Linked DNA regions of Lepisosteus oculatus. The protein of the gene in region 2 binds, or shares a complex with, the protein of the main gene of each other region. Links are inferred from orthologs where the notes say so. Each region holds a gene or a part of one and is shown on either strand. Other genes may lie near its edges.

Region 1 (11,447 bases), on a different chromosome or scaffold from region 2:
AGACACAGGTGTAGACTCACACCAAGGCCAATGGCAGCAATATCCCTTGACTCATCTACTATGACTCTTACTGTACATCCGCCCATGTCTTCTCTCTGAAAAGGGATAAACATGAAAAAGTGTGTCTGATATTTGCAAGAGTGCCTCCAAACACAATCTAAAAGATCTGACAAGCCTTTTTTTCCTCTAGTTTTTAATTTTTTGTGATGCATGTTGATTTCAGACCACTACCTTTGTCTTGCTTTTAATGTGAGCATAATAAGCCAGGGACAGTTTTGCAGTACACTTCAGATCATGGCATGGGCACGTGATGCTTAAATTTCCAATATGACTCATTACTACAGATGCCTAATAAAACTACTAGCAACGTGGCTCACAGAAGCTTGTTCTTTGATTACCTGGCCTTTCAAAAGGTCACTCTTTTCTTAAGAAGTTCAAAATAAAGATGCCTTCTGTTATCAATACTCACTGCATTGCAAATGAAAAAATGCCATAAAAATAATTAGATGATTGCAGCCAAAGGCATTAATGTCCTTATCTGACATTTAAGCCATTCAGAAAATAATTTTACTGCAAACTTTCATACTAACATTGGTCCTTTTAAATAACTGTGTTTAGTTCGAAATCCTTATAATCCCTTAAGCAGTACAGGCAATTCATAGAGCCTGACCCTTAATGACCCAATAGGGTAACTCTGCCTTGTATGCTGTAGTATTAAACATGAATAATAATTTAATTATTCCTGTTGCATTTTTGAGAGACAGCTAAAATCAATGGAAATTACTCCTTTTTCTTGCCACTTACTGCATAAACAACTGCTCCTGAACTCCAAGAGCCTGCAGAAATAACACTGCTTCAAGAAAAGAGCTGTGACCTTTCCAGTGGACCTGCTGGTATCCAGACACTGAATTCTAACCCCAGTCCTGGAGTTTAATCTCCTGTAAATGACAATGGCAATAGATCAGTGCTCCCTGCACAACTCCGCAGCGCAGAGCCGCGCGGCTCTCTGTGACAGTCAGACCTTTCAGATGAGCCAACGCCTTGCTTTAACGTCAGGATCAACTGATAACCCTCGCGCCCTGGAGCTTGCCAGTGAACTGCTACCGCAAGTAATTATCAGAAGTGAATAACTGTCAACTGTGGCAATGACTCCTGTTTTCCTTTAGAAATTAATTTCTAAGTGATATAACCATAATGAGCATTTGGCACATTTTCAATAGCTTTTCAATGCATCTCCATACTGGGGAATCACATTAGAGGTCTGTCAGCAGTTAAGCAAGCAGACACAAAAATTGATTATACAACAGTTTTTAAGGGAAAAATGATGATCCTTCACGTTAACCTTTTCAAAGCACACCCTCAACTCAAATAACTCCGTAATTAAAACTACCCTTAACAAAGGCCATCAGCTCAAGTGCCTTTTTATGACATTGAATGCATTTCAATTTCTGGAAACTAGCTTCTGTTAATCTAGGATTCCCATCCACAAATTATTTAATTCCAGCTTTGTTTTCATTATGAAAATTACAGTCCACTATTTATTTCATTGTTCTAGCATATTATCAAAGAAAGTGGCTCCTATACTAATCTGCCACTGAGCAACAATAAAATCTAACTTGCATGTTTCTCAGCTGTGTGTTGGCAGGTATGAGGCTAGTAGGGTCTTCAGGATACCCAATGTCCTTTTACACTACACATAAACAAATCTACTGAACTTGCTGTGTATGGAAGGTTCTTATATTTAAGTGGTGGCAAAGAAGAATGGTGGCCTCCTACTATGCACCTTTAATTTTGTCATGAAAGATGTATTATTTCTAAACCCATCCCCAATAACCAACAGACATGACAGAGGAAAATGTCTGTGATTCTTCCCCAAGCATGAAACAGAACACCACACAACAGCTCTCACTGGTGCCAAACAATACTCCTGTGTAGTGTGGTACACAAGTCTCAATCATATGCTATGATTGCAGTAATATCCAAATCTATCGTTCTCACAGCACAATTTAAATTTCCAGGCTTTATACCGCTGTACTTCCAAAGAGTTGTGTTGTAATACATCATTTAATCCATTTATACAGTACATACTCTATCATTCATTTTATACACAAGCAGACAGACACCTGTTCATTTCTATTACATTATAAAACATCTTCTTTTAATATTTCAAAAGGCTTCCATGTTAAAGATAAGTCATACACAATAATGCTTGTCTTCAGCTATAAAAAAAATATTTCTTGTGGCAAAGAAACATGAGTATTGATATGGTCAAAGACTACTAGTCTGAGGCTTTTTTCTTAGTTGATAATGATTATAACCTTAAGGAAGCAACGGGTGGTGTTTCACGCTTATTATTTATAATTTACATTAAAGGTTTGCTTCCATTTGGACTGCAATAGTTACTGCCACCCCTACAGCTGCTCTACTAATATAATTAAACGTATTCTTTTGCAAGAAAGACAACAGCATAATTCAATTATATTTTGAAATTTTAAATGATTTAAGTATTTTTAAGTCTGTGTGACACACCCTCAAGATTGCATGTATATAATAATTTCAGAAGGGAGTTTTAGACCTCAATGAATATTCTCTATACAGTCCTGATGGCGTTGACTGATTTTTTTCTCACCAGTTTTACAATTCCGTTGAGAAAATGTAGTTGATACTGACATCATTCACAATAACAGGCAAATGCATTTTCTTTATAGAACTCTTGAAGCAAACACTGGCTTAATTCACACAGCTGTATTCTCTGTCTGCTTCAAGAGTATGTGGCTACAAGAACAAGACGTTTTAAGCCACAGAATTAATCAAACATTGTACACACCTAGTAGGTCTACATTAGTTCCAAAAAGTCCTCTCAGCACTGTGTCAAGGCAAAAACAATGAAAAAAGTGTATATGCCTCTCGTGTGTTGAACTCGACCCAAAGAAAATGCTTCACTACATAAGAGAAACAATTGACAGTATATATCATTACAATACCACTGGTGCAAATGGAAAATGAATTCAACTCATTCTTGAGCTGGTCTCACGTTATTTCGCCCTACTGTCTGCAAATAGGCACCATTGAGCTGCAAAGCCATCTGCTGTTTGTTCTAAAACATCAACAACAAAATAATGCCGAAACAGTATGTCCTTAGTAAACCGCTAGCAACAGTAATCAAGCTCTACACTCCATCTGTGACGTGAGAAATATCGTTGTCCGAAAGATGAGCAATCTGATGTTTTTTTTATATTGCAACAGGCAGAATTATATTAATAAAAGACAGCTCAAAGTGACAAAAACAAGGTTTAGTGTTGTGTGTGCTTGTGCACGCAGGCATGTGTAGCGTTCACACCTCGATGGCACTGGGTCTACAATCTAGACTTACCTTTGGGTTCATTACAAGTTGCTGTTCGTCGTAATGCAGCAAAGCGGTGGAGTTGGACTCTGAGTTATTCACGAAGATCTGGAGACAGGGGTACAGCGAGGTGCCTTTACAATCCGTCCCGCACGTGAAAGTGCACTCGAACATTTCCCCGTTCTGCTGCACAGAGATCACGGTGCAGTTCGCCGCCTTGCACTGCATATTCTGAATGGTGGGATTCAGCCAGCAGAACCCCAGAATGAAGAGGGACACGATGCCACAGATAATCAGAAAGAGCCCGAGTCTGATGCTTTTATCTTCCGCCTCCGAGTACTCATAAGACACTCTGATCTTCGCCATCAGTCCTCGGCAGCGCGGTGATCACGAGCATTAAACCAATTTATATCTAGTGAAGAAGGCAAGTCTTTCTCCACCTGTGCCAATATCTAGGACCGTGAAGAAGTAGCTGGTGAAACTTCTTTCGCAGGCGAACTCCGCGATCGCTTTTGATTTATGACACCCCTATACCACTGCAACTGTAACTTGGCAAAACGCTTCTTTGCAGCCCTCCTTTCCCGAGCGTGCTTTCTGATTTCGATCTCGGCAGTCCACTCACATTTGGACTTTGCTGAAAGGCTGAAAGCTACATCTGGGATTAGATAAGCTTCTTATGTAGAACTAGCACAGAGTTCTGAGTAAATACGGCTCTAGACTGGCGATCAGATGTTGGTGAGCAGCAGTCTGTCCATCACCGCCGTCTGCCTGGTGCTGTAGAAATAGTATTCTGGTCCCAACTAGGACCTACGTGTGCTGAAAAAACTAACACTCCTAACTTCAAACTTCAAAACCTTGAAGCAACAGAAGTCGGCAACTCCCAATATCGCGATGACTGAGATATTCATATGTCTGAAATGATACAATGAGTTGAACGCATTTCCGAGCGCCGCTGGAACCGCAACAGTAGACATCTCTCGCTCAGCACCGTTGACAATTTTTAAAGCGGCATCTCGCCAACAAATTGTTTCTCAAGCAGTGTCAACGTTGTCACCTGTGCAAATAGTGTCAGCTCGTTTAAAGGAGACGCTGCTGTATTCGGATAAAGAGCAAAACGTTTCTGAGATACGAGTTTTGACACCAGCCTTGCTCATTGCCTTTTAATTCCCGTAAAAACATTCTATATAATCCAGTTAAAATTGATCTGTATTGCCATATTAGTTATAAAGTCTTTTCCCGTCCCTACCTGCAATTGAAAAAAATTAAAAATAAGTCATTAACATATCGTGTATGTTTGTCCAAAGGATGTGAAGGCACAAGTACAGTATTATTGATTAAACGATGTAATATATTGAATTATTTAATCTTATCTGTAGTCTTTTTAAATGTATAATGTTTAGGAACGGCAACTCACGCTTTTCATAATAATGTTTTTATATTTTCGTATTTCCAATGGTTATCCCTATTGTTTACATAAGTGGATCTACGGCTTTATAAAGCTTAGGGTAATCTTTCTGCACCGCACACGATAAAACACCATAATTCTGGGCCTACAAAAACGTAAAGCCTTCAGTTTACAGATGCAAAATAAATAATTCCGTATATATTTAAATTGCTCAACAGATGCTATGTTGATTACGGTGGTCTGCGAAAAACACGTGTTTTAAAAGATGCAGGACTCACATCAGCTCTTTCCTGGACGTTTTTCACGTCGGTATCTCTACCGGTTTGCGTGCAAGTCCTCACTTACCTTAACGACTTTATTCCTTCCAGGATTCGAGTTCATTGCAGCTTCGGACAGACTTCTAACTGGTGCCCTAGTTTTCAGAAAGGAACCGATGTGCTTGCTAACACGACAGGAGAAAGAAAAAAAAACAACAGCTTGAACGTCTGTATGTGAGCACGGCAGTTTCGGAGTTCGTTCTCGTTAATATTCGGTTTTATCATTTTGCTTTATGAAAGAACTGGATAACCACGAATTAAGAATGTTTCCTAATTAAAGCCAACTGAAGAGCAGCAATTTAGTGTCTAAAGTGCTTATTATTAATTATGTTTATTTAATCTTGTGTGTATGCACATCATACTGTATTATCATCTGCTCCAATATCCATCCATTTTTACTGGATCAACTACACAGACCAAAAGCGAGCACATTAACTGTGCTTAATGTAAAAGGTGGTAAGCAAACTGATCCAATCAATTAATGGGTGGTGCTGAAAAGGTGGTAAGCAAACTGATCCAATCAATTAATGGGTGGTGCTGAACCTTAAGTAAAAATGAAAAACGGGTTGTGTTGATCTGCTTAATTGTAATAATTTTCTCACTGAGTTGTCAAGGGCTCTGCAGAGTCATGAAACGTAGTGACTGTGCTTTTTCCAACTCAGATACTGGGAAGGGTGGATATAACTGTTGCAAGCAAGTTTCCAACCTGAGTATCGCTCTGATACTACTTCTACATTTAAAAAAAGAACAATGAATCCCAATGGAAGAAAACTAATTTATCACTTCATGCGAGAGGCCAGTCCTCAACAGCACCGAGTGGACAGCGTAGTTGACTGTCACTAAGGAAAAGGAGATCTCAGAGACTGAAGCAGACAGACCAGCAGGTCATGGGGTAGGAGGTAAATGTGACAGAGTAATGTTTTACGTTTTGAGTAGAAACACCTGCCTCCATAAATAACAGTGTTTCAAAACCTGTTAGACCACAAGAGAACAAATGCTGAATAGCACTCGGTAATAACAATCAGGTTTAAAAGGGCTACATCTGTGCTTCGTTTAAAGACTTTTTGCTTTATTAACCAAGGCTTGGTGTCGGTATTGTTGAATGAAAGCTCAGATGTAATCATAACTTTCTTTGGAAACAGATGACAATGAAAATTTGCTTGCCTCCTCCAACACTTCACAACCCAAATCACTGGTAGAAATTTACAAATCTGATGGGATATCCATCCATCTGTTATCAGAAAGTACTTACACCTGGTAGGGGTCATGGCAACCTGGAGTATGATGGGATACATGAATATTCATGGTTACTGACAAATCCTATAATCAATTTCTTATCACTGTGCCATAAGAAATTGATTATAGGATTTGTCAATAACCATGAATACGTCTTAGCAGTGTTGTATTGCTCTTAATAAAAAACAGCACATACGCGCTAGCAGTATGACTTTTTGCACTCCGAAGATCTTTTTGCATGACTTTCAAATATTAGACCAGTTTATGTTTTCAGTTCCAAATGCATACAGTACATGAAAAACTGATGCATTTTGATTAGCTGCCTATTTCTCTGCCACCTTATTTTGAATTCCCTGCAAGACTAGTCTGTTGCCTGTTGCTAGAACACATTGCAATGAGCTTATAGCAATTTCTTTAATTCATTTAAGCAGACTTTCAATTTAACAGAGGCACGCTTCAGTGCTGTTCTTGAACTGTTTAGTGCTGTTATCTTTATATACCTGTCAGCCATTTTAAAGCTGGCCAAGGGGTTCCTTATCATAATGCACATGAAGTTAAAAAGATTAAATATCTAATTTTAAAAAAGGGCAACAGATTTAATAAATATCCGTACGTGGAGTGGAGCTGCAAGTTACAAAAGAAACTTTTTCTTGCGTCCTTTAACATCAGACAAACGTTTCACAATTGATTTAACAATACAGGTCTTGCTAACTATCCTTATTATCTCCAAAATCATCCTGCTGCAAACTGGAATAGTGTTACCTTCAATTCTCTCAAGATCAGTCTTGACTTCAAATACCCATACAATGCCTGGCTACTTTCTGATTAACTGTGTACCTTAAAGATTCTAGCCTTTTGCAGAACGATAGAGAGAAATCTGGAAGATATGCTTAGATATTCTTGGGTCACATCCACATCCTGTAGCCTTAATTGATGGTCATATGTAGGACTGGGGCTCTCTAGTAAGTGACTTACTGGGAACGTTCAAACCTGCAGTGTGGTCATGGTGATGGAGCCTCCTCTTCTCCAATTGGCAACAAACCCCCTGTCTGGGGCCACATATACAGTGACAAAAGACAAGCGGCTCAAAGTTAGGCAATTCAGAGGAGTCACATACACACACTCAATTCCAAATATAACAAAATAGGAGCCAAATGCTAAAAAGGAATGAATACCTTTACTTCAACAAAAATATTTGTCCTTCTGTGTAAACTGTTAAATATACAGTAAGCCACTTGCAGCATATGTTTTAAGCGTTACAGAAGTGAAAATTACATTGTTTTAATTAAACAAATTTGGCAAGACAACTATACAGTATTTCATCTAATATGTTAATGTAGCATTACTTAATAATCACTTGTGTGGATCAAAACCCTTAAGTGTTTAAGAGCCGGGTTTCTTGATAGTCACAGATTATCTAGGATTTTAATATTATAGAGGTATTTTGGAATAATATTGGAATTTGACAGGAATACTCTGCCTTTGGCACTCAGAAATCTGTTAGAACTATAGTTGTCATTCCTTTTTTCTGAACTCCTAAGTGGTAGTAATTAATTGGCAGTAATTAAATTAATTGGTAGTAATTACTCTAGTCCACAGTTTTTCAACACAAACAACAGAAAAAAATAAAGCAAGAAGAACACAATACACATTGAACTTCTGAATACATTATGGAAGTAGCTTTCCAGGATGGGCTCTGGCTCCTCCGTGACTCTGTATTGGAGTGACGGATTACTGGACTACAAAGGAAGTGCAATGGAACAGGTTTGAAGGTTTGATGTTTTCTATAATTAATCGGTAGTGTTTTTTAACACTAGGGCCTGCTGCTTTACTGCACCTCGGGGCAAAATGTTAAAAGGATTCAATGTTTTTTTAACCTAGAATACTCATCCAATTAAGTAAATATTTCACAGTAGAGCCACTGTAGAGCGGTAATAATTGACGAGTCGTTTCTGTTTCTTCCCTGTTGTCCTGTCGCTGGTAGACCTCCTGACTGTTGAGCCCCATAGGGCTGTTCAATGCCATGGCATTATCAATCATTCACTAATGAGATGTACATTAAATATTAAAAACAGAACCACTGTTCGTGAAATAAACATAAAGGCGTTGGACAGTACACAGGGGCAGTTTGGAGTGCAGGCATTCATTTGTGAATTAGAGAAGGGGATAAAATCTCTCACACCGTGTATAATGAGAGACTTTAGAACTGATTAGAGATAGCAGATTTCCAGAGGTGCTATACTTAATAAGAAATTGTTGATTAAATCTGATGTCTTGCAACCTCCAAGAAGCCCAGAGACGGTGATGCAGGTCGGTGCAACACGTCAGCTCTTAGATAACTTGCACAAGAAATGCAATAAAATGCATCAGTAACAGAATCATGTTTAGGTATCCAGGGAAGTACACTGAAGAGAGTGTTAAGCTCCATTAAAAGCAGCAATATCTGTGATGGGACAGGAGTGCCCGTCAGCAATCATTCATCGCCTGTTACTGAAGAGCAGACTCCCAGAGAAGAACCCAAAAATTACACCTTCGCAAATACTGCATTATTTAGCAACCTTATTTGAAATCAGTTGATTTTAATGGGCTTAAATTGTTATTCAGAACGTGCAAAAAGATGTTTAAATCCATTTCTGTCTTTTGGGGAAGACAATAAACGTACCTCCGCATTATTTCTCTACCTTATTGGGAAAAAATGTGCTAGTGAAATACATGACTGAAGTGATACAGTAATAAATGTGTCCTGAATGTTTAGGGTTTAGTGCAAACTTTAAGTTCCTACATTAGTTATTCTATTTTGGTTTATAGCTCATTTAGACTGCTAAATGCACACAGATGTTAATCTTAAAAAAGAATTGTTAATTATCCTCTGCCAACCTGATCAGAGTAAACATATACTTTTTCTCCCTACTGATTGGTGGCGACAAATACTTTACTTTCCAAAGACAGAACACAGCTACCATGAAGTTAGATTTCCTGAAGCTATTGTATGAAAGCCTATTTCAAATCAGTTTCTTCCCTCCAGTGAAGCTCAAGGTTAAAATGTTGAATTTTCCTGACAAAGAAGCAGAAAAAGGTCAACTAACACCATCTGCTATGTTTGTTTTATCCCTTTAGATAAGTATTGTGGGTGTTGTACTGATCCACGGTATCAGTGCATAAAACACTAGGATAAGAATCAACTCGACCTCAGTCGGGTGCTTTAAGTGATTACAGATCGCCCTCTGCTGGGGTTAGTCAGTAATGAAAGGTTGAATATCCAATTTCACAGAAGTAACATTTTTTCAGCAAAAACATTTATAGTGGATTTATTTAATATATCATGCTACATGTATGCATTAAAAAGTTTCTTTGCAAATAAAAAGAGACGGCATTTTCTCCCTAACATAGTGGTGTCTGGAAATCTAATATTTTAAAAGGACACCTACTGTACATTAATCAAGTACAGAAAACAGCCTACTCCCAGCTGGTCTCTTTTTTCACTTTCCACCTCCTTTACCTTCGCCCTGCTAGAGCAGGAGCTTCCAGGTGTTACTTATCCTGACTCTATGACATCAAGCAATGGTTTCCTGTGCACTTGACCCAAGAGCAAATATGCATAGATGGAATTTCAGAATTTGTGTAGTACAGCACATGGTTTTGTCATGTACCATTTCAAAATACATTTCTTTTCTCTCAAACAAAAGTGGTCTTGATTTAATTTCCATTTAAGGCTAGAATTTATGGATTTACAGTATACTCGCTACAATTTAAATCACTTTAAGGAAGAAATCATGTTTCAAGATCATTTGGCAATTATTATTATTCCATTAATGAATGCTCACAGGTGGTGCAGTGGTTACCATTGCTGCCTTTAAAAAATAGAAAGCAAAAATTTAAACCTTAAACAATGTTATGTACATGATTAATACCATAAGTGCCCTTTGACATTAGTTCTGCTACACAAAGCAATTTGCCTGCTAGCACTTTTAAATCCAAACACCTTTGGTCAAGAGAAGATTTATGCCTGTAAGCCAATCAAAGTACATTTAAGGCTGTTACATTTACCAAGTACTGTAAGCAGTTAACTCTCCTTCTGAGACAAAGAAATCAGCAGCCTGCAGTCTAATTTTATTTTCTCTCAATAAATATTCCTTATTTTTGCTTTAGTGAGCTGGTGCAGTCTAAACAATCTCTGGCCCAATGTTGGTAAAACCAAAAAAGGTAATCTATGATTTCAGCCGTGACAGGAATGAAGTACAACTTCTTGTGTTAGACAGTCATATGGTGGAGAAGATAGATATCTTTATGCTTCTTGGCACAACAACCTCCCCCATCTTGAAATGGGAGGCTAGTGCACACCACTTAGTGAAGAAAGCCCATAAGAGACTATTTTGTCAGGCAGCTCAGAAAGTTGGTTGTGTCTCGGGAAGCCATGGTCTATTTTCACAGGACAACTGAGAGTGCGTTAATGTTTTTTGTGACAGTCTGGTAAGGGGAACGTAGTCACTTAGGAAGGAAAACAGCTGGATAGAATGGAGCACAGTGCTTCGTGAATGAGCAGTGATGGCAGTCACTTATCATCGGCTACTTCTATATACGCAACACGTTTAAATCTAAGACCTCTGAAAATGACAGTATGAGCGACCAATCTCACCCACCCTTTACCCTCTTTCAGCTCCTTCCCTCTGGAAGAAGGCAAAGATCAAATCAGATCAGAGAACAGAGCGGTTCTGGAAGAGTCAACACAATTATAAAAGTATTTAATATTGTATTTATTGGTAAATGTGTGTATTCTGTCTTCACTGTAATGTAGCACTCGGTAGTATGCTGGATAAGTTAACGATTTTTCATTCTTTTCTTGTATCTTTGCTTTGGTCAAGCACACCACAAAAAATTCCTAACATCTCAAAGGGCTGGTTTGGCAATAAAGTTGACTCTGATTTGGATATAAACTGACAGCGATACCGTGTGAAAAGCAGCACAGCTCATTCACTTTCTACGGGAATCAGAAATGCATGAATATGAAGAATTCTGTGGTTGATTAAATTACACAATGGAATAACCAGCACTGTATTTTAGGTTGAATCTGGATACAAACTTGGTGGTAGACAGTTTATTAAAGATAATTGAATGACACCAGCATTTTTTTAGCTGCTTTACAACC
Region 2 (11,512 bases):
CAGTAATCACTTTTTAACAAACATTATGATGTCTAAAGAGGTCATGATTAAAACGAAACATTCTGTGACATACAGACACTTTGCTAATTAACAGTTTCTGCCACAAGGCTACCTACAATCACATTTTAAAAGCTATCTAATACTTTGTTATCCATTGGCCTCTGTAGAGTTGGAACTCCCTGTTCCTCAGTCCCTGAGGTACAACAGAAACAGTACCAATGTCAGCTCTCAACACCAAGGGCTGTGGACTCAACAAAGAAGGATTTTGCACTCTTTCGGGATCCATCTCATCAAATTGCTGACCACATCCACTGTAGGTACGATTCATGACTTGAACAGTAATACCAATGCTAGCACATCAAATTCATTATTTTGATTACCAGCATTGTACAGACGTCACACAACTGTGAGACAGCACAAAGAAAATGATAAACACACAGCAGGAAAGGGATCACTGCCCAGCCTTTAGAAACAGGCATCACAGCCTTTACAGTGAGATTATGAGACTGATATGGTCAAGTAACAAACTAAACTACTGTGAAATATTAATTAAAACAAACGTTTGTGATTATATGTGACTATCATCCTCATCAGACATTGCGCTGCTTGCCTCTGCACCTTTTCAACCTTAAAACGATACATTATAGAACATTTAAGTTGCTACAATCTCTGAAAGTTATCTGATTTCTATGCAAATTACGTCTTTGTACAGTACATGCAAGTGTAATAGGGCTCAGTGTACCAAGCCAGTTATAGAAGTGATGTCACCCCTCTCTGAAATCTAGACAGTGTAAAACTCGCAGTCGTTTTTTGGGCTAGTGGACTTATCCACTGTCCATGGAGTGGCACTGTGTGTGCTTGGAGCCTGAGAATGACAGGGATAGAATCTCAGCAGAGGCAGGGAGAGCTGCTTTCATCACACCAAGAGCCACTGCTGTATGAATCTTTCAAAAATCAATGGCACATGCCCTCAACAAATTGAGTGAATAACTAAACTAATGCAAGCTGTGGCCAGGAAAGATGACCAGTACTATTCAAAAAGTAAAACAGCTATTAAAAGGCCAAAGATGACATCGTCCTTACTGCATTCCAGTAGAGAGGTCAGACCTAGGATCACCACTGCTTATCTCCAACAGGGGTTACTCTTATTATGGTCCATCCCTGACAACGTTGTTAGAGCATTGACTGGCCACCCCTCAATCTGAAAGAATGCATGCTGCTTCAGTGAAAAAGAGGTCTTGCAATCAGTCATCCATGTATTAAAACATCCCTGCTTGGAAGGACAAGGAATCAGCACCCCAAGGTCACACACAGAGAAGACTCCTTGAGTGGAGAAGGAAGGTTAGGCCAACGACTAATTTTTTTGGACTGAAACCTTTATTTGAAGCCACATATATCTGCGTGCATTTACACAGATGGGAGCTTCACAGGAACAGTCAGGACGTAATACAACTGAAATACGTTGTAATGCAGCTGTGTCTCACCTGGGATTTGAACACATAACCTTTCAGTTTGAGGTGCAGATCCTTGACAACTGCTGCCCCACTAGGCGGGGTTTGGAGAAAGTTGGCCCCTGGTCCGTTTCTTCTATTTCAACAACGAGCCACACAAACCCTTCTGCTAGACACAAGCTACTCTAGACACACCTCCTCCCAGACAGACTTTACAGATGGGTAACAGTGGTAGCAAAATGCTGCCACGTATTTATAAACAGCCTACAAAACTGGAGGCTTGTTATCTTTTCCGATATTCTTAGCAAAAGATACCACATAAAAAGATCATAATCAGATCCCATGTCAGATCATTTGTACAGATGCTGCCGCTGTTGTGTTACTTTTAGCTCTTGTCTCTTCAAAATATGTTGTCCCTGTCTATTTTTCAAAAGGCGATTTTCTGTAAATCAAAGCGGCCTCGATTCTCGTTTAAAAAAACTAAAGCTAAATGTGCAGGCCTCTTTCTGTCTTCCCCGCTTAACCTCTTCTGTTACAACCTGTAGGTGTGAGTTTCAGTAGGATTCCGTCTTTTAATATGCAGCTTGCCCATCCAGGTCATTAAAAGGTAATGAGGAATGGAGACTAAACATTTGTACCTTAGCCTCCAAGGGCTTCGGTGAGAGACATATTAACACACCTCTCCCACCACCCTCATAAAACAGAGAAGCTTTTCCTCTTAGCGTTTATTTGCAGGAGAATTTTAAAATTTAGGTCTTAGAAGTGCTGTGTGCCTAAATGCACATCTTACATAAATTCCCTTATGTTGCTTCATATAAACTTTAATAGAAAATCCCTTAAATCTGCACTTCAATAAAAGGCATTGTGTGATAAAATGGAATTCAATTTTAAAAACAAGCATGGGTTTCTGTTCAATACACAGTCTATGAAATAAACACGCAAACTGCCATTCACTCAAATTGCTTTGGTTCCAAGAAATATTTTTTTTTGCAATATAAATATTATTTCTGTGATATTTGGTGAACTACATTCAAAAACAAAGCAATGCTTTTAGAAAACGAATTCTTTGGAATCTAAAGTGCCACGTTAATAATTTCAGGAATATGGGTTAAAAATTGACTATATACAGAAAATGCCTTATCTTACTTGTGTCATAATGCACTGCTAGCACCACACTGTACAAACAGAGAAGATTATTTGTGCAAGACTGAGCAAGTGTTAGCTTAACATATTATGATGGCTGGGCAAAGTTCTGGTGACATGAAATATCAGTTAACATACATAGTTTACATACTGTAGGTTTTCTTTTCTAATCCATACCTGTCATACTGTGATATAATTCTGACAAAGTGGTTTTGCCCACAGAATTCAATATATCATTCTGAAGGTTAAACTCAAAACATACACTATGAGGAAATTTCGCACAAGGCTACTTTAAAGCATATCCATGTGATTCCTTCAGGCGCTGAAACCATCTCAACAAAAAGAAATCGACCATTGATATACAAGTTATATATGGATAATTTCCAAATAAAGGGGGCAGGAAAAATATTAATTAAAAAAACAGACAGCTGCAGGGTCACTCTTTCCCATTAACTTACATATTCACAGGCTAATGCAATGCAGGATTCTTGTCATATTTTAAGACTAAAGTCTGGCGAAAGAGTAAAAGTATGAAAGGCGTTTTTAAGATTTTGCAACAAATAAAACATTTAATTGAACTGACAAAGGAGCTATCCCACATTTAGTGTAAAAAACAAATTTCCCAGTTGTGACAGCCCAAAAACACAATGGTAGGAAAAGAAATCTCTAGGTATGAAAAACATTAAGCTAATTTCAGATTTGTAATATTGTTATATGTTTATTATTGTTTTACTCCACAATAAAAGATCGTGAATCAACGTGTGTGGCTATTACTCTTAGAAATCACTGGTTTTTATCAATTTTCCAGTCAAAAGAGGAAGGCCTCCTTTATCATCCAGGATTCCAAACCTTTTATTTCCAGGAGCAAACACACACACCGCTTGTTTAAAGAGGGAATAAAGCTGCCTGTTTTTTGTAAGAGGGGTATACGAGGAAAAACAACATTTCCTGCGTTTCCAGAGTCGGGCTTCCGAACAACTATATTTAAAATAAAATGACACCAGAACGCAATATCAATGTCTCCATCATTTGTCCCCAGAGATGGAGGTGGCAGTATTTACGGAAGGTTGAAGAAGTTGAATAATTTGCGTTTGTTACATACTGTAGATTGACGACCCCCACCACCCCCCACTCCCCACCCCACCTCCTCCCAAAAAGGAACATGGGGAATACACCTTCAAAATGACCGCGCGAGTTACCTTGTGTTTGATGTTGCAGTGACAGCACACAGTCCACAGGTACTTGAGAGTCCTCCAGAGAAGGATGATGAAGAGACCCCCGAAGAAAGTCACCATGGAGGAGGCGAGAAAAGCCCACCACATGCGCTGCCCATTGCTATCACAGGGCACGTCTGCGGAGTAAGGGATGATCACTGCATCCATCTTGGACATGTACACCGAGGACGAGTCCGGATTGATATTATTATTGATATTGTTACTCATACTGCTGCTGATGCCTTCAGAGACGTTGCCATCTGCCATAGCTAGCATCCAGAGGCTTTGGCGAGCTCCTCTCGGCACCCCCAACCCCACTCACCAGCCATATTGCTTCAGATATCCTCTTCCCTTCTCAGGATTTCTTTTGCCCCTGTTTTGTTCTAGACCTATCGATTTCCCCTAAAACCTGTGACGCACAGGCGAGCCCCACTTCAAAGCCCGTATATCAAGTCTCTTTCCCTCTGCAAAACGCATTTAAACTCACCCTAATGACGCCTATATGTTTTCGTTTTAAGTCAAGTCGGGCATTTTCCAAACCTTCAGGAGCAATTCCATGTCAGAGAAATCTTCATTTCGCAGCCGTCGCTGCTGCCCAGCTTGTTTTTTTGTGGACTGCTGTGGCTTCTGTATAGTGCTGAAGACAAAGTATATATTTATAAACAGCACTTCAAGCGGCTTGCTTGAGACCTAGCTTTCTTCCATCGAGGCAACAGAGCGCTTGACTGTAAACGATTTCGGTTGCGTAAACACTGCCTTGTCGACAGCCTTCGGGGTTTTCAACGGGGTGAAGATCTCTCGCGTCTGTAGCTGCGCTCCTCGCTGTTGCAGAAACTGGGGCTGGAGAGCGTTTCCCCCCTCCGCAAAGACCGCTCTAGTGTTGATACTGGCGTTCCCATTCACCACCTTCCTCTCGGCCCGTACAGCGCCCAGCTGATCCAGGCTGTCAGATCTGCTGGAAAGATAGCCAGGGGGGATTTACAGGTATCAAGGCGGAGCCAAGCTCGAATAATAGAGATGGACAGACGGCCGGGGATGTTTATTCCAGCAAGCCACTGCTGCTATCTGGAGATCGCTGCGTCCTTGCAATGCGAAGGGCGCGTTCTGGTTTTTACTATTAAAATGGCTTTACGTGCTACGCCGTGTTCTCGTATTCCCTCTACATTCGAGACAACGGTTCGGTGTAATGAGATTTATTTTCAATATTAACGTTTTTCAATCTTACCTTACGGCAGATCTCAGTGACTGGAATACAAAATACAGCAGCTGTACCGCTTTCTAAAGGCGCTGCGGTATCTGTCACATAATCTACAGCTCTCAATAAATGTCTGCAGTCCTATCTGTATGCTGAAAGCGGTACAGGGTTATAAGCGCTTTCATTGGGGTGCTGTCCAGGGAGAAAGAAATTATAATAGTCATAATAACGCATTTTCCGTCGCCGAAAATTTCCAGTGAAAATGGAGACGGGCTGTGTTTTTACAGAAGTGTTTTTTTCAGTAACCTTTTCTTCCACGCTGGCTGAGCACTCAACACTCCACCCACGGAAGGGAAGCCGGTTTTGTGCACTTAAACTTGGAAACCTGTTGAGTGCCCGTAATAGTTTTCGTTTCGAAACTGGTGAAGTTTTTGTACACAAGATAATTGTAATATTCTTAGGCTTATTGTAATTTTGAAAATATATTTTTTGGTGTACCGGTCATTGATAAGGATGATGGTATAGTCAAATCGCCCATAAATATCCATAAAAGATCATTTTTCCCTAGTGTTGGTGACAAATGATAATCTGCTAGACAGTATACGCGTCCGTCCTTTCTATGCAATTGTTAGCCTCCTGAGATACAGGTATCAGTACCAAATGATGGTTAAGAGATAGGACACAGTAACCCACTTTTAAATTAAAATTAGAATAGGGGAACTGCGTTTAGGCGATGCAAGAATCTAGCGCTACAGTACCTGGAAGGTCTGCTGCCATTTTGTACCACCAAGGGCCCGCTGCGTTTGTGTGAACCGTAATAGCTACACCATAACAGATCTGACAGTCCGGCAAACGCCGGTCTGTCGCAGAGATGTGAAGAAAAATGTCGTATCTATCTGAGCAAGGTCCGGTTTCACAGTCTGTGCCGAAATTGGTGTTGATACTATAAACGTATTTCTGGATGACGGGAGAAGGCAGGGAGTAATTAATAACCTACGGATGACCTACAGTATCGTTATCTATAGATCAGTCTGTAGAGGTCTATAGAACATATTAAGGTAACATATACACTACCTATAAAATTCAATAGAACCTGTTAAAACAACTTATAGATTATCTATAGATTTATGTAGAAAAGACCCAGCTCTCTATAGAAACCTTTAGGCCACTTGCACAAGAGTAAAAAAGCCATCTTTAAGGATGCAAACTCCTGGCAGTGTGAATTAAAGGTTTTCTCCACTTTTTTATAATTCTTATCAATCTCTCAAGCCAAATAAAGTGGTTTTCAAATTAGGTGAACAGATGGTTTTAATATCTCTACCCTTTGACTTAATGATGGGCTCAGTTTAAATTCTGGTTTAACAGCTACGGGCAGATATATAGCTGTATGAATAGATAATTGCTTACACTTCCATAGCACTTTTCTGGACACTCCACTCAAAGTTCTTTATAGGTAATGGGAACTCGCCTTCTCCACCACTAATGTGCAGCCCCACCTGGATGATGCGATGGCAGCCATAGTGCACCAGAACGCTCACCACACATCAGCTATCAGTGAGGAAGAGAGCAGAGTAATGAAGCCAATTCATAGATGGGGATTATTAGAAGGCCATGATTGGCAAGGGCCAATGGGAAATTAGGACAGGACGCCAGGATTTTTAATGACCACAGAGAGTTAGGACCTTGGTTTACGTTTCAACCGAAGGATGGCGCCTTTTTACAGTATAGTGTTCCCGTCGCTGTATTGGGGCATTAGGACCCACAGAGACCGAAGAGTGAGAACCCTCTACCGGATTTACTAATACCTCTTCCAGCAGCAACCTTAGTGTTTCCCAGATCTCCCATCCAAGTACTGGCCAGGCTCACACCTGCGGCGCTTCAGTGCGTTGCCAGTTGTGAGTTGCAAGGAGATATGGCTTCCGGATGAAATATATAGATATTATGTACATCACCGATGTCCACTACATTAATATACTATACTATTTAAATACTCATTTAAAACGCTAACAGTTTATTCTTAAAGTTACGACAGTTAATTAGGCTTTACTTTGAATGAAATGCGTAGTTAAATCAGCGGTGTTTACAAAAATTGATTTTTGCCTATTCGTTGCTTTAACGAGCAAAGTTTTAAATACAAAGAAGTTACACAAATAAAAGTACCGCATGCGGTAAATATTTTATTGCGGCATTTTAAAAGCAACATTTGAGTGCAGCAGCGTTGTCGCTGTCGTCGTTAAAAACGAGGCAAATTAAGGTCTGATCACAAAAAGCTTTTTAAAAGGGAGGCGATGGTGCTTTTTTCTCCTTAATTATTCATAGTGGTGAGCTAATTCGACGACAGATGCAGCTGCGAAAACTCGACTTGGTGCAGTAGTTGTTTGAGCACATGGAAACTTTTTTTTCGCCACCTGGTGGATGTTATCGGTGTAGCAAACTGACAGGAAAAACAAGGCCGTCAGGGGCGAGGCAGAACGTCCTACATTTGTTTCGCAGAAAAGAAGAACAAGGGGAAGAATTGACTAGGAAAGACATACTGATAAGTTAATATCCGTCTTTATTCATTCCTATTTTTCCTACGTAAGGTACTTTTTAATTTGAGGAAAATCAGAACCATGTATTTGTAACGATAAACATGGCTTGTATTACACGTTTCATGTTAGTAGTTGCCGTTATTCAATAAAAAAAAAAGATTTGAATAATTTTGGTTTTAACACATTAACGTTCTGGGTGGAATGTAAGGACAAACACCTTGAAACAAAGCCACTATCCAAAACATTACATATTATATTGAGCAGAACAGTGGTAACAGGATTAACAGGAGCACAGCCGTAGAGGTATCCAGCAGTATTGGCTCTGCAGGTGACGTTCCCAGCCTTTGCTTGAAAGGGTTCCCGATTCGCAACTTCCTGGGGGGCTGTGACGAGGAGGGGCAGGTGGGCTTTCACAGCAGCAGGAAGAATCACGGGAACAGGGCTGACAAGAGGCGGCCATTCATAGGCGAATGTTGTCGGGGAGCTGGTAGCTCGGTGATCTGCTGCTTGGACGAAGCCAGCGCGGCAGCTTGGGCATGATGGACAGGGAGTTTGTCTCAGACCTGCCACTGGAACATTGAGGGTAAGACTGTAAGGGCATACCACTGCTCAGCATTTAGTCCTTGAAAGGAATGCTACGGGGTCTTCACTTCAGCTAGTTGCATGAAATGGGATGCATTACTCTTTCTGGGAGGCTGTCAGCTGGCCTACGGTTCTGGCTACAGACTGGGTCAGAATATCTGGCTTCTAGACACCGAGGGGCAGAATGACACAAGGACATGCCAGTGTCCCATTGGCATGACGTCACTGAAGGGGTGTTTCCCAAGTGTAGATGACCGCATTCCTTTCCAGAGAGCCAGGGTTACGAAGACAAACCAACACTAAATTATTTTATGTCCCGGTTGTAAACTGGGTATAGTGACATCAAGCACACTCAGATTAGACTTCCACAATGTTACTGGTAGCAACAGGATCATGCATGATGATTTTCTAGGAAAACAAAACTACAGCAGCTGTCAGTGAAACCTGAGGAACTATTTTACAACCACAGTGTTAAGTGCAGGGCATTGCTAAGGATGAAAAGCTTAATTTCTGGACCATAACTCATAGTCATTTGCAGCAAGTCATGGGACTTTAAGCAAGTGTGTAAAGATAAAAAGAATGTAGGCTATAGCAACTATTGCTACAGAAACAGCATTTTGCCAAGCTGCGAAAGGCTTCCAATGCTAACCTTACAGCAAAGACCGCCCTCACAGCAGACTCCCATCTGTTCAGAAGTTAAGACGGCCTGTCAGCAGCTGTCCTGAAACGAACACCTCAGCAAAGACATGATCCTCTTTAAGCACATTTAAGAGGAATTGTGGTGCTATACTGAAACAAGTTCGCCAATCTAGTGAGTGGAACACAAGGTGAAAACTCATTTGATGATTCATCTTCGCAAACCTTCCCATACAAGAACTGTTGAGACCTGATCAGATAATGAACTCTGAAATAGCTGGAAAGCATCTAATTACCAGAGCATGACAGATGTGTGTGACCACAGTTCAGTGCATGTATGTTGTTTGTAGTTGCGTGTAATGGGGTCTGGTGGCACTGAACATGTTACTGAAGTGATGTCACCCCTTAAAAAAATAAACGGCAATTTCTCCCTCAGTAGAAGACGCAGTTATTTGGCATGTCAAAACCCTTGACAGACCATCCTCTGAACCCTGACAATCAACACTTAATAATATATGCACCTATACAATATAAAAGTGCATACTTTTGATGACTCTGGCCCTGCTACAAACCCTTTTGGATGAGGAAATTTCCAGTTACTCGTTCAAAGCGGGAGGGTTTTTTTCTTTAGTTCCTGTAGTATATCCAATTGCAATAAAAGATTTAAAAACACCCATCTGTGAGTATTAGAACAATACTGGCATTGTGTTGGAGAAGAATAGAGGTCATCTGAAAGCCTGACAGCACACAGAGCCCTGAGCACTGGTGAACACACACCTCCAGAAATGATATTACTTCCTTGTGCACGGAGAAGGAACTGTATCTTCTGTCAAGACTTTGTTCTATTTCAGCATTTTTGGAAAATCATTAATATTTTGAAGTTGTAACATTTGCTGGTATCAGATATTTCCTGGGAGAAATTTCTCTAAAACTCATGAATTAAATTTGTAGCCGACAGCCTCAAGAAAGAGGGTTCAAGTAAGGTTAATTATCTGAACCTAAGAAGGCAGTGTCCCCATCGGAACGCTTCTAGAGGAATTTGCTTTTCATCAGTGCACATTCAACCTGTGACAGGTTTCTCAAACACTATATTGATGTTCTCATCTAATTAACCTAGATTGTAAATCTTAGATTTGATTAAGTGAATTCTCTTGTCACATTTGCCACACACTTAACCAACAGGCACATTGTATACCCTATCTTATTTCATGTAGGTAGCATGTGGACAGCATTTAAGACTGAACCATTAATGTATTCATGGAGGCATTGCATTACAGTGAAATGACACAATGTGGATATGCCGAATATCCATATAGAGGAATTCAACCAGATGGGCTGTCATAAACTTAACACTTTACTCACTGATCACGAGTATACTGGTTTTAATTTGTGACAGTATCCATTTTAAAATCTTCAGCTCTAGCCTGCTTACCTCTCCTAAAAGCATATTTCTGTGCTGACCCACACTTAAGACAGAATGCATTGTTCACACTTGTCGACTCACTGTGACAGAAGACCAAACAGCAAAGGCACAACAAGGATTGTGAGCATTGTGTATATTGTAGATGCTGTATAATTTTGAGGTGAACCTGAAGCACCCTCATCTAAAAAGATTTTATAAATTTTAGTAACACAGAAGCAAAACACAGACCTTTTCAGTCTGGAAATATTACTGTTGAAATTACTCAAATGAATAGATTTAGCCGTTTTAAAGCAAATAGGTTTCCCTTTATCTGGAAGCAGGATCACCCATTTTCACACACCTATCCTTTCAGTGTCAGCAGGAAGAAGTGTGAATCTGCAGCTTCAGGCTACATTGGCCAGTACTTTAGATCGGACCTGCACCATAACAGAAGGCACATTCTATTGAAGCTCAGCCTGGCTATTCTATGGCCCATGGTTACAGTAACTTCACTGATAGGAGCTGTAATGAAGGTTTTAGAGATTCATCTCCAGCTGAAACTTTTACAGGATGAGAAGACTTGGATCTAGACTGACTGTTCACCTTGACAAGATCGAGAGATTAATGAGGTCGTACATCTGTATTTGTTAGGAACAGGCAATCATCTGTCACGGATCCCATTCATCTTGGAAGCACTCAGAACAATTTTGGAGTGAAGTGTTAACTTTAAGTCTGGTTCCTTTTTCATAAGATTCCAATCACATCCACATTTAAAAAATCAGATTATAACATGTATTTGATGGTTTAATTAATGAAAAGGTACTGAACAATTCCTAAGCCTCAAAACACCATTTGCATTTAGTCAAACATCACTGTATAACACCACAGATCTCATCCTTCTTAACTGATCTCATGTGTCACACTCTTTTTGGGGCACTGCACAGCACAACAAGGCTAGAAGTCTTATGTCTGCTGTCTCACACATGATACTTCACATTGACTGTATGTAGCAAGAATCATTGGGAAACGTTTTTCACCTGGTGGGAAAGGTGAAACTCGGGAACAAAAATCCCTTCCAGGTCTTTGGCAACACTTTCTGCCGAAAACACCATTCGCATGACATTACACCAAGAAAGCGGGGGGTTTCGGTTTCCAAGCCTAGCCCAGTCAAAGCCACACACTTAACCTTATCTTGTACACGCATTAAGGACGCAAAAAAGTAACAAAATCAGGAATCAAAACTAAACACTTCCTGTCTGCAGCCCTGAACGAAACTTGTGTCCTCTCCAAAAGGAAACCTGCAAAAAAGCGGAAGTTTCCAAGAGGTCTGGTGTGAGCGGACATGGAGCAGGGAGCAC

The links.
Region 1: the proteins of kcnma1a (region 2) and calcium-activated potassium channel subunit beta-4 are in contact, whole or in part, in a cryo-EM structure (PDB 6V22), measured with the Homo sapiens proteins. The link is inferred for Lepisosteus oculatus from reciprocal best matches to the Homo sapiens genes KCNMA1 and KCNMB4. Residues at the interface, in NP_001154824.1 of Homo sapiens: Phe98, Phe99, Leu102, Phe103, Leu106, Leu107, Arg109, Thr110, Tyr113, Leu114, Thr116, Val117, Asp238, Leu240, Trp241, Leu244, Pro327, Trp328, Asn330, Gln332, Leu367; in NP_055320.4 of Homo sapiens: Thr11, Glu12, Ala13, Glu14, Lys16, Ser17, Leu20, Leu24, Ile34, Phe35, Cys38, Trp39, His105, Thr164, His165, Val183, Leu186, Ile187, Leu190, Thr191, Ala194, Leu197, Ala198, Lys200, Ala201, Met204.

The regions. Positions count from the first base shown.
Region 1 is NC_090702.1:23,119,899-23,131,345, forward strand, and holds the start of calcium-activated potassium channel subunit beta-4, read right to left. Parts: upstream 5,464-11,447; 5' UTR 5,094-5,463; intron 4,590-5,093; 5' UTR 3,710-4,589; coding exon 3,374-3,709; intron 96-3,373; coding exon of another isoform or gene 1-95. UniProt on the Homo sapiens protein: Regulatory subunit of the calcium activated potassium KCNMA1 (maxiK) channel. Modulates the calcium sensitivity and gating kinetics of KCNMA1, thereby contributing to KCNMA1 channel diversity.
Region 2 is NC_090699.1:18,680,768-18,692,279, forward strand, and holds the start of kcnma1a (calcium-activated potassium channel subunit alpha-1a), read right to left. Parts: upstream 4,987-11,512; 5' UTR 4,085-4,986; coding exon 3,794-4,084; intron 1-3,793. UniProt on the Homo sapiens protein: Potassium channel activated by both membrane depolarization or increase in cytosolic Ca(2+) that mediates export of K(+). It is also activated by the concentration of cytosolic Mg(2+).